Canis lupus familiaris: one gene and its partner. The protein of the gene in region 2 interacts with the protein of the main gene of each other region in a pairwise test. Links are inferred from orthologs where the notes say so. Each region holds a gene or a part of one and is shown on either strand. Other genes may lie near its edges.

Evidence for each region. The genes of interacting proteins can lie anywhere in the genome.
Region 1: the proteins of KPNA2 (region 2) and NMNAT1 interact in a two-hybrid assay, tested with the Homo sapiens proteins (3 studies listed by BioGRID and IntAct). The two-hybrid records come from large-scale screens. The link is inferred for Canis lupus familiaris from reciprocal best matches to the Homo sapiens genes KPNA2 and NMNAT1.

Annotation. Positions count from the first base shown.
Region 1 is NC_049226.1:63,610,597-63,617,777, reverse strand, and holds the start of NMNAT1 (nicotinamide/nicotinic acid mononucleotide adenylyltransferase 1), read right to left. Parts: upstream 4,988-7,181; 5' UTR 4,525-4,987; coding exon of another isoform or gene 4,470-4,524; 5' UTR 4,441-4,469; exon of another isoform or gene 4,134-4,440; intron 3,448-4,133; 5' UTR 3,324-3,447; intron 3,085-3,323; exon of another isoform or gene 2,928-3,084; intron 1-2,927. Other genes in the region: protein LZIC, read left to right, coding at 4,470-4,524, 5,191-5,279, 5,988-6,139, 7,151-7,181.
Region 2 is NC_049230.1:14,373,297-14,381,188, forward strand, and holds the end of KPNA2 (importin subunit alpha-1), read left to right. Parts: intron 1-370; coding exon 371-639; intron 640-1,100; coding exon 1,101-1,195; intron 1,196-1,292; coding exon 1,293-1,556; intron 1,557-1,750; coding exon 1,751-1,984; intron 1,985-2,243; coding exon 2,244-2,426; intron 2,427-4,022; coding exon 4,023-4,172; intron 4,173-5,017; coding exon 5,018-5,110; 3' UTR 5,111-5,364; downstream 5,365-7,892.

The DNA.
Region 1 (7,181 bases), on a different chromosome or scaffold from region 2:
CAGAAGCTTTGAGAAAGTAAATAATTGATAGAGGAAAGTCCTTAAGAAGACAAGAGAAAGGATCTTAGGTATAAAGTAAGAAGATAGCTTAAAAATAATGGGAAACGGGGTAGAACATGCAATTCTTGATCTCAAGGTCATGAAATCAAGCCCACACTAGGTGTAGAGCTTACTTAAAAAAAAACAAAAAAACAAAAACAGGGGCACCTGAGTGGCTCAGTGGTTGAGCGTCTGCCTTTGGCTCAGGTTATGACCCTGGGGTCCTAGAATGGAGTCCCCACAGGGAGCCTACTTCTCCCTCTGCCTATATCTCTGCCTCTCTGTGTCTCTCATGAATAGATAAATAAAATCTTTAAAAAAAAACAAAACAAAACAGAGGAACATTAAAAATAATAATGGGAAGAGATGAAAATATCTATCTATACAAAGAATTACATGGTTTGGCTTTATACATAATAGCCAAAAACTAGAAACAAGTCAAATGTTAATCAACAGATGAATGAATAAAAGAATGAATGAATAAGCAAAGTTGGTATAGCCATATAACAGAACACTACGAGGCAATAAAAAAGGAACTACTGGGGATCCCTGGGTGGCTCAGTGGTTTAGGGCCGCCTTCAGCCTGGGGTGTGATCCTGGAGTCCCAGGATTGAGTCCCACATCGGGCTCCCTGCACGGAGCCTGCTTCTCCCTCTGCCTATGTCTCTGCCTCTCTCTCTCTGTGTCTCTTATGAATAAATAAAATCTTAAAAAAAAAAAAAAAAAAAGGAACTACTAATACACACAACATGGATGAATCTCATTATTTTGAATGAAAAGAGCCAGATAAAAAAAGGCACACATTGTATGATTCAAGCTATATGAAATTCTAGAATAGATTATTTAATTTATAATGATAGAAGGTAGATCAGTGGTTGCCTAGGGTTGGGAAATTGACAGAAGAGGAGCAGAAAGCTGTAGGGTTCTTGCTTATGATATCCTCATTTTATCTTGTGTGTCCCTCACTAAATGGCAATACTTCCACTCTTTCTCTTTGGATGGACCTGTTCCTTATAAATATATATCCAATTATGCTCATTTAACTGAAGTGATAATGACTAACATTCACTTTCTTCCTGTGTGCTCAGCAATAGGTTAAGCACTCATGTAATCCTTACAACACTCCAATGAAGTAGGTACTACTAGTATCTCCTTTTTTTAAGTTTATTTATTTTTAAATAATCTCTAGGGCAGCCCTGGTGGCTGAGTGGTTTAGCGCCTGCCTTCCACCCAGGGTGTGATCCTGGAGACCCAGGAGCAGCATTGAGCCTGCTCCTCCCTCTGCCTGTGTCTCTGCCTCTCTCTCTCTCTCTCTCTATCATGAATAAATAAATAAATAAAATCTTTAAAAATAAAATAAAATAAAATAAATAATCTCTATACACAACATGGGGCTCGAACTCAAAACCGTAAGATCAAGAGTTGCATGTCTTCCTCACTGAGCCAGCCAGGTGCTCCTACCATCCTTTTTAAACAAACATGAGAAAACAAAAGCTAAAAGAGGCTGCTTAACTTGCTCAAGATCTCACAGTTTGTGTAACAACCTTCACTCTAAAAATTCATGCTTTAACCATGACATAAGACTTACAATGGTACAAACTATCTACTGGTAGACATTTGAAAGAGATCCACATGTTTGGAGAGCCTTTGGCTCCTTTGGCTTCTTTTTTTTTTTTTTTTTTTTTTTTTTTTTAAGATTTTATTTACTTACTTGAGAGAGAGCAGGAGCACAAGAGTGAGAGGGGTAGAGGAGGAGAGAGAGAAACAGACTCTCCGCTGAGCAGGGAGCCTAATGCAGGGCTCAATCCCAGGAACTTGGGTTCATGACCTGGGCCAAAAGCAGATGCTTAACAGACTGAGCCACCCAAGAGCCCCTTTCTTTTTTTCTTTCTTTCTTTCTTTTTTTTTTTTTTTTGGATTTATTTTATTTACTTATTTCAGAGACAGAGAGGGCAGAAGGGAGGGAGGGAGAGTGCACATGCATGTGTGGGTTGGGGCAGAGGGAGAGGATCTCGAATTGATTCCAAGTTAAGTGTGGAGCCCAACACAGGGTCCATCTCACAACCCTGAGATCATGACCTGAGCCGAAATCAAGAGTCGGCCTCTCAACTGACTGAGCCACCTCCGTGCCTCAGGCTAATGTCCTTCCAGTTAACCACTCAAGCTTTATCTGTCCCAGCATTTTCCCTACCAAGTTGGAGCAACTTGCACTCTCTGGGCTCCCATCCCAAGTCCAAGTTAAAATGTCCTAAACTCCAGGGCGCCTGGGTGGTTCAGTCGGTTAAGTGTCCAACTCTTGGTTTCAGCTCAGGTTGTGATCTTAGAGTCGTGGGATTGAGCCCCATAGACTCCACGCTTGGCATGAAGGCTGCTTGAGTTTCTCTCTCCCTCTCCCTCTGCCCCTCCTGCTCATGTTCTCTCTCTCCAATAAATAAATCTTTTTTTTTTTTAAGATTGTATTTATTTATTCATGAGAGACACAGAGAGAGACAGAGAGAAGCAGAGACACAGGCCGAGGGAGAAGCAGGCTCCACGGAGGGAGCCCTATGTAGGACTCAATCCTAGGACCCCAGGATCACGCCCTGGGCTGAAGGCAGGCACTAAACCGCTGAGCCACCCAGGGATCCAATAAATAAATCTTAAAAAAAAAAAAAAAAAAAAAAAAAGAGTGTTAAATGTCCCAAACTGCTCCAGTATTTCTGGTTTCCCAGTTATGATTCCCACCCAGCTCTGAAGTTATTTCCCCCAATGCTCTCTCTCCAGTGACTACCTATATAACATGTTATTCCTCTTTTTCCAGTGTCTTCTCTTCCCTCCTCACCCTCCTCCAAAGCCTAGATTCTGTGTTTGTTTGAGAACCAGAACCCAAACCAATTTCTCTTACTTACACACTGGGAATACTTTTTCATTATCCTTGAACTCTAGACAAGAATCCAGGGAACACTCTAAGCAGAGAAGTGCCGAATCAGACTAAGTCACAAAGAAAGAAGAGCAGGCAAACAGAACGCCTGGGTCAGCACAGCTCTGATGATCGCACACAAATGCCTGAAGAGAACACATACTGTCATAACCAAAATTAGGGGAAGTACACAATGAGAGAACGTTTGTTTAGCAAGTTCTTCAAATGCTAAAGCAAAGAAGCATATTTTTTTCAGTGTGCTTTGCTTTGGCACTGACCCTGTCTGTCCCTGAGAGATCTGCGTTACTGAAAGCCTGGATGTGTCCACACGTATTTACCGTTATCAAAAACGAGACCTGATGACAGTAGCACAGCAGTCACTTACTTTCACAAAGGAAATTCTGTGGACCTGAAGTGTTGTGCAAGGTGGGTCACTGGAACCATTCCCACCACAGCAAAGGCTTCTCGGTGCTGGGCCAGAACCAGGGTTTCACAGCACAACTCTAACTCTGAAAAACAACACAGGGGGGTGCCTGAATGGGTTGGTGGGTGAAGCCTCTGCCTTTGGCTGAGGTCATGATCCCCAAGTCCCAGGATCGAGCCCCACATGGGGTTCCCTGCTCAGTAGGGAGTCTGCTTCGTTCTCTTCCTCTGCCCGTCCCCCAGCTTGTGCTAACGAATAATAATAATAATAATAATAATAATAATAATAATTTTAAAATCTTTAAAAAAATAGAGAAAAACGAGAAACCCAAGGATCAGAACTGGGGAAGTAATTCATTGTGGTCGACTTCCCTGGGAACTTTAGTTGGAAGGAAGTCTGGAGGAGTCGGGGGCTGAAAGAGAACGAGCCCAACTAGCCAGCCCCACGACGTCTGGGGACCTGGGACTCGGGGGACCTCGGACTCGGGGAACTTCGACCTCGGGGACCTGGGACTCGGGGGCCGCGGGCGAGGGGAGCATTTCCGCCCAGTTTCCCGGTAACTTTCCAAGCTGCCCAACGGCCGGCGGTGCCCTCAGGGGCGTGAGCGCCAAACCCCGTCTCTACGGATTTGCAAAGACGGATTTCCGAGGAAAGAGGAGGGAAAGAGAAGTCCTTCGGGACGGAACACTTCCTCCTCCGTCCCCGCCCACCTCCGCCACGCTCCAGGGGCCTCTGGAAAGGGATCTTTTCCCATTTTCCAGGGTGAGTCACCTGTTCGAAAGAGAAACTACCGAAGATGTGGGCTCCCCAGAAGGATGGAAAGACTGGAGGCGCGGGACTCCTTGTCCTAAACCTATGACCTTGCCTCGAGGACCGCTATCTGCCCCTCAAAGACGCCACCATCTCGGAGTCCCCCAAGCCTGCGAGGAAGGGACCTGCGCCGACTCCCCAGAGCCAGGTCTCTCAGGGGCTCCGGCCTGCAGGGGGCTTACCAGGTCCTGGGGCCCACCCGCCCGAATCCTCCCGGAGAGACGCCGCGCAGCACGGACGCCAGACTGAGCAACACCCGTGGCCGCACCCTCATTGGCTCCCGGAGGCCGGAAGTGCATGCGTCCGCCGGAAGTGTTCCTACTGCGAGCGTCCGCCAGGCCGGGACCCTCAGGTAGGCGGGGCCCCTGCCTCCGAAGTCCCGGCACCGGGCCGTGGCCCGGTGGGGCGGGGAACCCCGAGGGCCCCAGGAGGTTGTCCGGGTTCTGGTCCCGGAGGTCCGGAGGAGTTTCGGGGGCGGGGGCTCGTGGCGACCTCTGGTGGCAGCCGGGGCCTAATCGAGCCCGGCGGCCGCAGCCCCCCAGTGCGGGAGCCCCGAGTTCCCGGGTGGAGACGGGGTCTGGGGTCTTTGGGGCGGTGGCCGGAGCCGCCCCTGCCTGCGGCGCGCCGGGATGGCTGAGGTCCGTAGCCGCTCGGGTCCAGGCGGGAAAACGTGTGCCCTTCGCCCTGGTCGTGTCGGTGCTCCTGGCTTTGCCCTCCAGCCACCTGGGGGTGCGGGGTTATCCTCAGGGACACCCCAGAAAGGCTGCCCAAGGCGCAGTCGCGGGGAAGACGGCTCCCCTCCCTCCTGGCCCGGCTCCCCTCTCCCCCAGAAGAGGAGGGTGTGCTTCCGGGGCGGGGCTGCCCCCGTGGAAGTTACCTGGACCGCTTTAGACTAGTGCCTGCGGAGTAAAGGAAACTACCTGCTAATGGTTTCCGACTCCCCAGCTAGCTCCACCTCCCCGTGGTTTGGACTTTGAGCCTCTAGTAAGTCCTGATGAACGATTTCGCTTTGCTCAAGCTCATGACTCTTGGACCTTCAGCAGCGGGAGGTTTATGCACTTTGGGGCGGGTCGACAGCCTGCAGAGTTCAAAGCACTGAGAGACCAGGTGAGCATGAAGGAGGATCTCCCAGTCCGGTTCCGGTTTTTGAGGGTCCTTTCGGCAGTTTCTGCCAAAGGTGCACCGCCTTTATTGGATATTAGGTGGTGCCAGCGAGTTAATCTTTCTGGAATAAATTTCACCTAACGGACAGCACCAAGTCAAGGCTTTCAAAGTGTCCAACAGCCCAGAAATGCATTTAAAATAGTTTAACCGGGATCCCTGGGTGGCGCAGCGGTTTACCGTCTGCCTCTGACCCAGGGCCTGATCCTGGAGACCCAAGATCGAGTCCCACATCGGGCTCCCTGCAGGGAGCCTGCCTCTCCCTCTGTCTGTGTCTCTGCCTCTCTCTGTATCTCACGAATGAATAAATAAAACCTTAAAAAAACAAAAAAGAATGAAAACGAATCTTTTAATGAGTCTCTTGGTAAAGCATTTGATCTGTTTCTGTATAAAACTTTTTTCAACATTCAAATTTGTTTAAAGTAAAATGGACTAATCGTGAAGATTTCTGATTAACTTGTAAAGTCACTTAGGAAGACTGCCAGGCTTTTTGTTGGGATGTTACTAGTATATGAGTTTAAACTTTTTTTTTTTTTTAGTTTAAACTTTTATATGTAAAATGAAATTCTCTTTGCACAACCATCTTTCCCACACCTATAGCTCAGAAAGAGTATAGCCCGTTTTAAATCACACTGGTTTGTTGAATCATTTCAGATAACCAAATATATACTGTATGTGGGCTTGTTGTTCTACTTAGAGATCAAAATGGCTTCCAGAGGAAAGACAGAGACAAGCAAATTAAAGCAGAATTTAGAAGAACAATTGGATAGACTAATGCAGCAATTACAAGATCTGGAGGAATGCAGGTAATAGCATAACTGAATGCCTCTCTGCTGTCAAGTGGCTTTTTTCTGCAGCTAGATTACAAGCTGTGGGTGCAAGCCCATGTGTGATTTTGGTTTCCCCTATAGTGCTTTGTCTGTTGGAGAAATAAACTCAGTGTGAGCTTTGGAGTCATAAAGGTAAACCTTTTAGTTTCCATTTCCTTGAGTGTGAAGTAGAAATAGTAACACCTACCTTGTCTTCAGTACATAAAATAGCCCTGCCTGGTATATACTTGAACTTCTAGTGTATTTTCAGCCTTAAATGTTCAACGGACCAAAACTGCTCATTGCCTTTTTTAACAACTTTGAAAGGTTGTTGTAGGTATTTCAAATGAAGAGGCCAAACAAGGCTTGGCCTTGAGTAGGTGCTCAATAAATGGTAGCTGTCATTATTTGTAGGAAATGTTTAATAAATGGCTTGTTCAAAAAAAATGGCTTGTTCAGTTAGTGAATAAAAATAGCCTCTTACTCATATGACAGGTACTACGTTGCTGTTGTATTTCACGGTACACAAAATTTTACCTACTGTTAGTGATGATAAAAGTAACAGCTATTTTGTCAAGTACCTGTTGTTTGTCAAGGACCTTCCAGAGTTCATGTAATGCTCATAGCAACCCTAGGAGGTAGGTACTATCATTATCTGTGGCTTATAGATCAAGAAACTGAGGCTTGGCTGTGTTAGGTATCTTGCCCAAGGTTATGCATTGATTCATAGACTGCTTAAAAGGAAGTTATTATGTGGTTTGTTAAATGTGCCTCATTTTGGTAAAAGAAAAGTGTTTAATTATCAAAGTAACCACATGGCAGGAAAACGCCCATACTACTAACATCTGAACACATCCATTGTTATCATTTTGTTATTTCCTTTCAGCCTTGTCCCCCAAGATACTTTTTGTAAATATATGTATCAAAAGTCTTAGGCTACAAATATTAAGATTGCTTTTTTCACTTGGAACTCTTGTGTTTTTCTATATTACGCTCACTGTACTTCAGAGAGGAACTTGATGCAGATGAATATGAGGAA
Region 2 (7,892 bases):
ACTAAAAAACAATCCAAGTGACAAATAACGAAGGAAAAGATGTTTAACCTCACTAGTAGATAAGGAAACACAAATTAAGAATGGCAGTGTAATTCTGTCAGTTTTAAAGTAAAAAGATCTAAAGTAGTTTTCTGGGGGAATAGCAAATTTCCATTATTGGTAATATTTTATTTTGGGGGAAAAAAGGTAGTTAAAGACACCATATGTGGTCATACTATGCAACCAGTCTGTTCATCTCCCTTAAGTTCCGGGATATGTCAACATATAGTGCATTAGCTCTAAACTCTTAAGTTGCATTTTAAATTGATTTTTACACAAACTACTTTTGTTAATCATTTTCAACTTTGTTTCTTTTTTTGTTTACCCTTAGGAAACTGCTTTCTAGGGAAAAACAGCCCCCCATAGACAACATAATCCGGGCTGGTTTGATTCCAAAATTTGTGTCCTTCTTGGGCAGAACTGATTGTAGTCCTATTCAGTTTGAATCTGCTTGGGCCCTCACTAACATTGCTTCTGGGACATCAGAACAGACCAAGGCTGTGGTCGATGGAGGTGCTATCCCAGCATTCATTTCTCTGTTGGCATCTTCCCATGCCCACATCAGTGAACAAGCTGTATGGGCTCTAGGAAACATTGCAGGTACTTGGATTTAAAATTCTTTGGACTGGGATCCCTGGGTGGCTGAGTGGTTTAGCACCTGCCTTTGGCCCAGGGAGTGATCCTGGATTCCCAGGATCGATTCCCACATTAGGCTCCCTGCCTTGAGCCTGCTTCTCCATCTGCCTATGTCTCTGCCTCTCTCTCTTTCTGTCTCTCATGAATAAATAAGTAAAGTCTTTTTAAAAAAATAAATAAAATTCTTTGGACTATCTCTGATCATACTGAGGTTGGGAGAAGTGCCTTGTCCATAAGTAAGAGTGACCTGTGTGTTAAGATTTAAACTTGTTTGCTTCCAGTGCTTATCAGGGCTGCTAATGGCATATAAGTAAGTTAGGGAATTTCCGAGAGTATTGTGTTTGCGTTAGGACACTGGTGAACTCAGTCATTGAATATTGATGGTGCTAGACAAGTAGGTTATAATTAACCTTGCCTTTTTTTAGGTGATGGTTCAGTTTTTCGAGACTTGGTTATCAAGTATGGTGCAGTTGACCCACTGTTGGCTCTCCTTGCAGTTCCTGATATGTCATCTTTAGCAGTAAGTTACTAATAAGTTAGTTTACTTCTTGATTCTTATTTTTTCCCACCCCCTGAAAATACACAGGAGTTCTCACTGCATTTTTCTTTCCCCTCAGTGTGGTTACTTACGTAACCTTACTTGGACACTCTCAAACCTTTGTCGCAACAAGAATCCAGCACCCCCGTTAGATGCTGTTGAGCAGATTCTTCCTACCTTAGTTCGTCTCCTGCATCATGATGATCCAGAAGTATTAGCAGATACCTGCTGGGCCATTTCCTACCTTACTGATGGTCCAAATGAACGGATTGAAATGGTTGTGAAAACAGGAGTTGTGCCCCAACTTGTGAAGCTTTTAGGAGCTACTGAATTACCCATTGTGGTAAGTTTTTAACTTTTAGCTAAAAATATTAAACCTTAAGCATGGTCAGTTGATACTAACAATTGACATTGCCTATTTTAGGCCATGATGGGCCTCTGATTTGTCAGAACCTTTATAGAGTTTTTGAGCAGTGCTGGAAAAAATAAAAGATAACCACTGGCATCAACTTTTTTTTCTTTTCTTTTTCTTTTCAGACTCCTGCACTAAGAGCCATAGGAAATATTGTCACTGGGACAGATGAACAGACTCAGGTTGTAATAGATGCAGGAGCACTTGCTGTCTTTCCTAGCCTGCTAACGAACCCCAAAACTAATATTCAGAAGGAAGCTACATGGACGATGTCAAACATCACAGCTGGTCGCCAGGACCAGATACAGCAAGTTGTGAATCATGGATTAGTCCCATTCCTCGTTGGTGTTCTCTCTAAGGTAATGAAGTCTTAGTATTTAGTCAAAGAATGTTAGTATTTATGGATGGACATTTGGTAGAGCTGTGCTTGATAAGATTCTTAATGTGCCAATATTGGATTCTACCTAGAGTCCTTTTGCTAAATAGTGGCCAGTAACCTCCTTCACTTAAGATTAGATGGAATCTGTTGGTAGTTAGAGTTGTTTTTCTATAACCATACTTTTGGGATCCTATTTTTACAATTGTTCTGAATTAAACTTGTTTCCTTATGCTTATTAGGCAGACTTTAAGACACAAAAGGAAGCTGTATGGGCTGTGACCAACTATACAAGTGGTGGAACAGTTGAACAGATTGTATACCTCGTTCATTGTGGCATAATAGAACCATTGATGAACCTCTTAACTGCAAAAGATACCAAAATTATTCTGGTTATTCTAGATGCCATTTCAAACATCTTTCAGGTAAGTTATAAGGTAGCATTTGAACTTGGCCTTGATGGTAATGGATGATATTTTAACCCACGGGAGGGCAGCTAAGTTTGCTCAGTAGGCCACAGAATTAGAAAGGCTGCTTATGTGGGCCACACTCTTGGTAAGACGTGACAAGGGATTATAAGAGATTTAAAGGAGATGACAAGGGGATGACCTGAATTTAAATCAAGTCCATATGTGGACACAATTCATTCCTATCTATTTTGTCAGAAATCTTTAATTCTTCAATGTCCTACTGAATTATGGTGAAATTAAATTTTGATGACTTAGTTATCCATTTTATTTTTTTTCTGATTCCCTTCCTAATTGACCCGAGCATGCTAGCATATGACACTTTGTCACAGTGGTTGGGGATAGGTAGGTCCTACCTAATGACTTTAAACTTCTGATTATGGAAATTCTACCTAGAAGAGTCTAGAATAATGATGCTTGGTGTATCTGTCACCCAGCATAAATAAATTGTCAACATTTGGCCTATTTTTCTACTCCTTCTTACCTAAACCCTCTAAATTATTTTGAAGCAAATAAATTATTTAATCTGTAAAAATTTATGTATCCTAAAATTTGAAGACTTTAAAACCACAATGTCATTTTTATACCTAATAAATTCTTGATTATCAGTAAGTAATCCAATCAGGGATGTTTATTTTTATACACCTTAGGCCATCTTTGTCCTTAGACGATGGTTCTCTACCTTGACTACACTTTGATGTTATCAGAGGTGCTTTTTAAAAAAGATTTTTTCTTTCATTCATTCATTCATTCATTTATTCATTCATTTATGAACCTGAGCATGTGTGGCAGGGGCAAAGGGGGAGGGAGAGAGAATCTCAGCAGACTCCATGCTGAGAGTGGAGCCCAAAATGGAGCTCAGTCCCACAACCCCTGAGACCATGACCTGAGCTGAAACCAAGAGTCAGATGCTTAACTGGCTTGAGCTACCCAGGCACCCCTGAGGTGCTTTTATAAAACAGTAATATTCTGTTCCCATCAAAGACCAAACTTGGTTATGGTAACATTTTTATTTTTTTTTATTTTTGTTTTTTTTTAAACTTTCTTTTTTTTTAATTTTTTATTAATTTAATTTATTTATTTATTGAGAGAGAGAGAGAGAGAATGGCTGGGACACAGGCAGAGGGAGAAGCAGGCTCCATGCAGGGAACCTGATGTGGGTCTCTATCCCGGATTTCCAGGATCACACCCCAGGCTGCAGGCGGCGCTAAACCGCTGCACCACCGGGGCTGCCTGGTTATGATAACATTTTTAAAGTTGCCCAGGTGATTTTGATTCATAGAAATGATTTGAGACCTACTGTAAGATCTAGCTGAGAGCTACAGAAGTAGTTGTTAAGAACAAGTATAGATCTGATCACCTTGAATTTTTTGAAAATGTAAACTGGAAATAAAACCATCTCATAGGGTTGTTGAAGGAACTTTAAAGTGGTTGTCTGAGATCCATCAATACCCAAACATAAACACGGTTTTCCTTTTTTTTTTTTTTTTTTTCACGGTTTTCATTAAAATAGAACATTCAGTAAATTCCACTAAACTTGGATATTTTTTTTAGGCTGCTGAGAAACTAGGTGAAACTGAGAAACTTAGTATAATGATTGAAGAATGTGGGGGTTTGGACAAAATTGAAGCTCTACAAAACCATGAAAACGAGTCTGTGTACAAAGCTTCATTAAACTTGATTGAGAAGTATTTCTCTGTAGAGGTGAGTAACATGGTAAAGTTAACAAGAATTTGGAAAATACACAAAGTCAAGCCCATAAGATTTTTTTCTTCCTTATACTTTTTAAATGAGCCCTGTGACCTTGTTAAATATGGCAAAATATCAGTGTGAGTAGGACATAATGTATATATATATTTTGCTTCTTAAATATTTGGCTTGATGATCATATAATCTTTAGAAATTAAAAAAAATTTTTTAAAAATTACCCCTCTTTCTTTAGAATGAACAGTCTTAAGGACTTTAGAGTATCTTGAGAGTAAGTTTGTATAGGAGATGATGGAAAAGTGGGCCAACCCCACTGCCATCTTCTGGGGCTAATAGGCCATCTTCCCATTTCCTTTTTTTTTTTTTTTTTTTAATTTTTTTTTAATTTATTTGTGATAGTCACAGAGAGAGAGAGAGAATGAGGCAGAGACACAGGCAGAGGGAGAAGCAGGCTCCATGCACCGGGAGCCTGACGTGGGATTCGATCCCGGGTCTCCAGGATCGCGCCCTGGGCCAAAGGCAGGCGCCAAACCGCTGCGCCACCCAGGGATCCCCATCTTCCCATTTCCTATGGAAAAGTGACAGGTGGGGAAGAAAGTCTGCTGTGGTAGCATTCCTTAGTCCATTCGGAATCTTCCATCTCCCAGGCGCTCCTGAATTGGCAAGTTTTCAGCAGCTTTCCCTCCACTATTTCAAATACTGAAATATGGTACGGCATTGATTAGTATAATATGCAGATGAAGACCTTAAGAGTAAATAGAGACTTCTAGGCAGGCTACTTCCTAGAAATGTGCTATGTGTGTGAAATTATATTGTTTGGTTTTGTTTTTTAATACTTCCAGGAAGAGGAAGATCAGAATGTTGTGCCCGAAACTACCTCTGAAGGCTATACATTCCAAGTTCAGGATGGCACTCCTGGGACCTTTAACTTTTAGATTGTACAGCTGAGACAGAAAGTTGTTTGTTGTGTACTGTTTGGTAGAAGTTTGTCTTACTGTTTCTCTACTAAGAACTCTTTTTAAATGTGTTTTGTTATTGTAGCACTTTTTACAACGAAACTATACTTGACCAGTTCTGAACTGTACAAACTGTATGAAGCTCCTCCTCTCAGTGGGTTGCTTATTTCTATGTGGAATCTTCTATCTTACAGTGTCCTGTAAATAAAGATTAAATTCCACCCTTTTCTCTACCTCACCGTTCCTATGCATTACTTTCTAATTTGGAGTTCTTAAGATTGCAGATGAAGGGTGACAGAACCAAACCAATGTGACCAACCAGAGGTGTAATTCTGGTGGCAGATGACATTTGATATCAGGTTTGTGATGTCCTCAAAGATAAAGGAGTCATAACTCTTCTGCCCACTTCTGAGCTCTGGGTTTGCTCTAGGCTGCTTCCATTCTTTGTCAGTAATGGCTGTTGGCACTTGCAGCTTCATATCCACTATACTCCAGCCAGAATAGAATTTTTCAGAAGTTTGCATAAGAAAATGAACAGAATTTCCCAGAAGGCTTCAGCCAATATCTCCTTTAAATCTCACTGGCCAGGGAGTGAGAGTGAGGCCAGGGAGTGAGGCTCCTTGCATGGAGCCTGCTTCTCCCTCTGCCTGTGTCTCTCATGAATAAATAAAATAAAAAAAATATATATATATACATATATACATACACATATTCTACACATATATGTATGTGTGTATATGTATGCATATTAATCATAATTAGGATGTTTATATATACGTGTGTGTAATATATACATGTACATAAAATTTAATATATATACACATGTGTATATATATATTTATTTATTTATATATATAAAATTAGAAGTCTCAAGCTACAAGTAGAATTCATTCCTCCCAAACTTCAAGGCTGAACATGGTTTCAAAGCTGTTGGCATCACCTGGAAAGTTTACCCACAAATTCTGTTTAATTGGTAAGGGGTGGGGTCCCAGTATCTGATATTTTAATTTTAATCCCCATACATTCTTCCTGTACAGTCCAGGTTGGAAGGCACTAATCTAAGGAATAGTTACTATTAGCAGCATAGGAAATGGGCTTGGGGGAAGGAGAAGGGAGGGTTAATAAGGAGCCCCACTAGTCCTAAGGACAAATGAAATGCACCTTAAAAGCACTACTGTCTTTTTCCTTTGATTCATGGAAAAGTAATGAGCCAAGCCTCCACTGCTGATATTGGACAGCTTTGCCTGGTTGTTTTGCCATAGACGATCTAGAGCTGACGTGATGGGGGTGGGCATTTGGGTTGAAGACTCAAAGTGTGATAGGACCACAAAGGGCTACTATATTCAGTTTTTAAAATATGCTAGTTTTGCAAATCCGTATAATGCAACAGATTTCCATTTACTTTCTCAGTGGATATGAATGAACATGATATTCTTTTTTTTTTTTTTAATTTTTATTTATTTATGATAGTCAGAGAGAGAGAGAGAGAGAGAGGCAGAGACACAGGCAGAGGGAGAAGCAGGCTCCATGCCCCAGGAGCCTGACATGGGATTCGATCCCGGGTCTCCAGGATCGCGCCCTGGGCCAAAGGCAGGCGCCAAACCGCTGCGCCACCCAGGGATCCCTGAACATGATATTCTTAACCCTTCAGTTCATTAACCTATACATACGTAACGTTTTGCCTTTTGCAGAGAATAGGCTTAAAGTTCCTGCTATGAAATAATATTTAATGCTTATTTACGTATAGAAATAGCAAATACTTCAGCTAATACTTCTTTAAAGTACCTCCTGCAGCCAAGTTTTTGATTTGGAACACCGAGGCATGTTACATTCCGTCCTCCTGAGCTTAGGGCGTCCTGTTGGGAGCCCTGGTCATTTTCTCGGCTTTTTATATGCAAAGGCTTCCATAGAGGAGAGGCAGAAGAGAAGTCACGAAACTACACAGACTGCCTTCCTGCTCCCACCTACTTGCTCTACTGCCCTTTTTTTCCTACCCTTGCTCTAAGGTAAGTCCCTAAGATCCTGGACTCAAAAGTCTTGAATGTGAGAAAAATCTTGGAAGTAAAGCTGGACACCATAGGTTTTTGTTTTAAGAGAGCTGAGGCTGAGTGGGCTCAGAGGGACCAGTGGAATACACACTGGTAAGAAGCATAAGGTCTGTTGTTTTTAGAGGGAAAACATGACCCAATAGTGAAGTAATGGACAGGAGACAGCTGATTGCCAGAAATACATTTTCATATTTTAGATAGCATTTTTAGCACGCTAGCTCCTTAGAGTTAAAATCCATAGATAACATTTTTAGCAAGCATGCTGGTTTCCTTAGAGTTCAAATCCATTTCTATGTTTTTTTGAACTTGATAAGATTTTCTAAGAAGGAGTTTTCATATTCAGCTTGATTTTTGAAAGTGATAAAATTTTATATAGCTACCAACATTTTCCTTTTTCACAGTGTTGTCTAGCTTCTTTTAATGCACTACTAAAGTTTGTAGCTCCTTTGACTTTTTTTTAAAGTAATGCCTATGCTCTTTTTTTTTTTTTTAAGATTTTATTTATTTATTCCTTGAAGACCCAGAGAGAGAGGCAGAGACACAGGCAGACGGAGAAGCAGGCTCCATGCAGGGAGCCTGATATGGGACTCCATCCTGGCTCTATGGGATCAGGCCCTGGGCTGAAGGCAGCGCTAAACCGCTGAGCCACTGGGGCTGCCCTCCTTTGACTTTTATTTCTTTTTAAGATTATTTGTTTATTTATTCATAGAGAC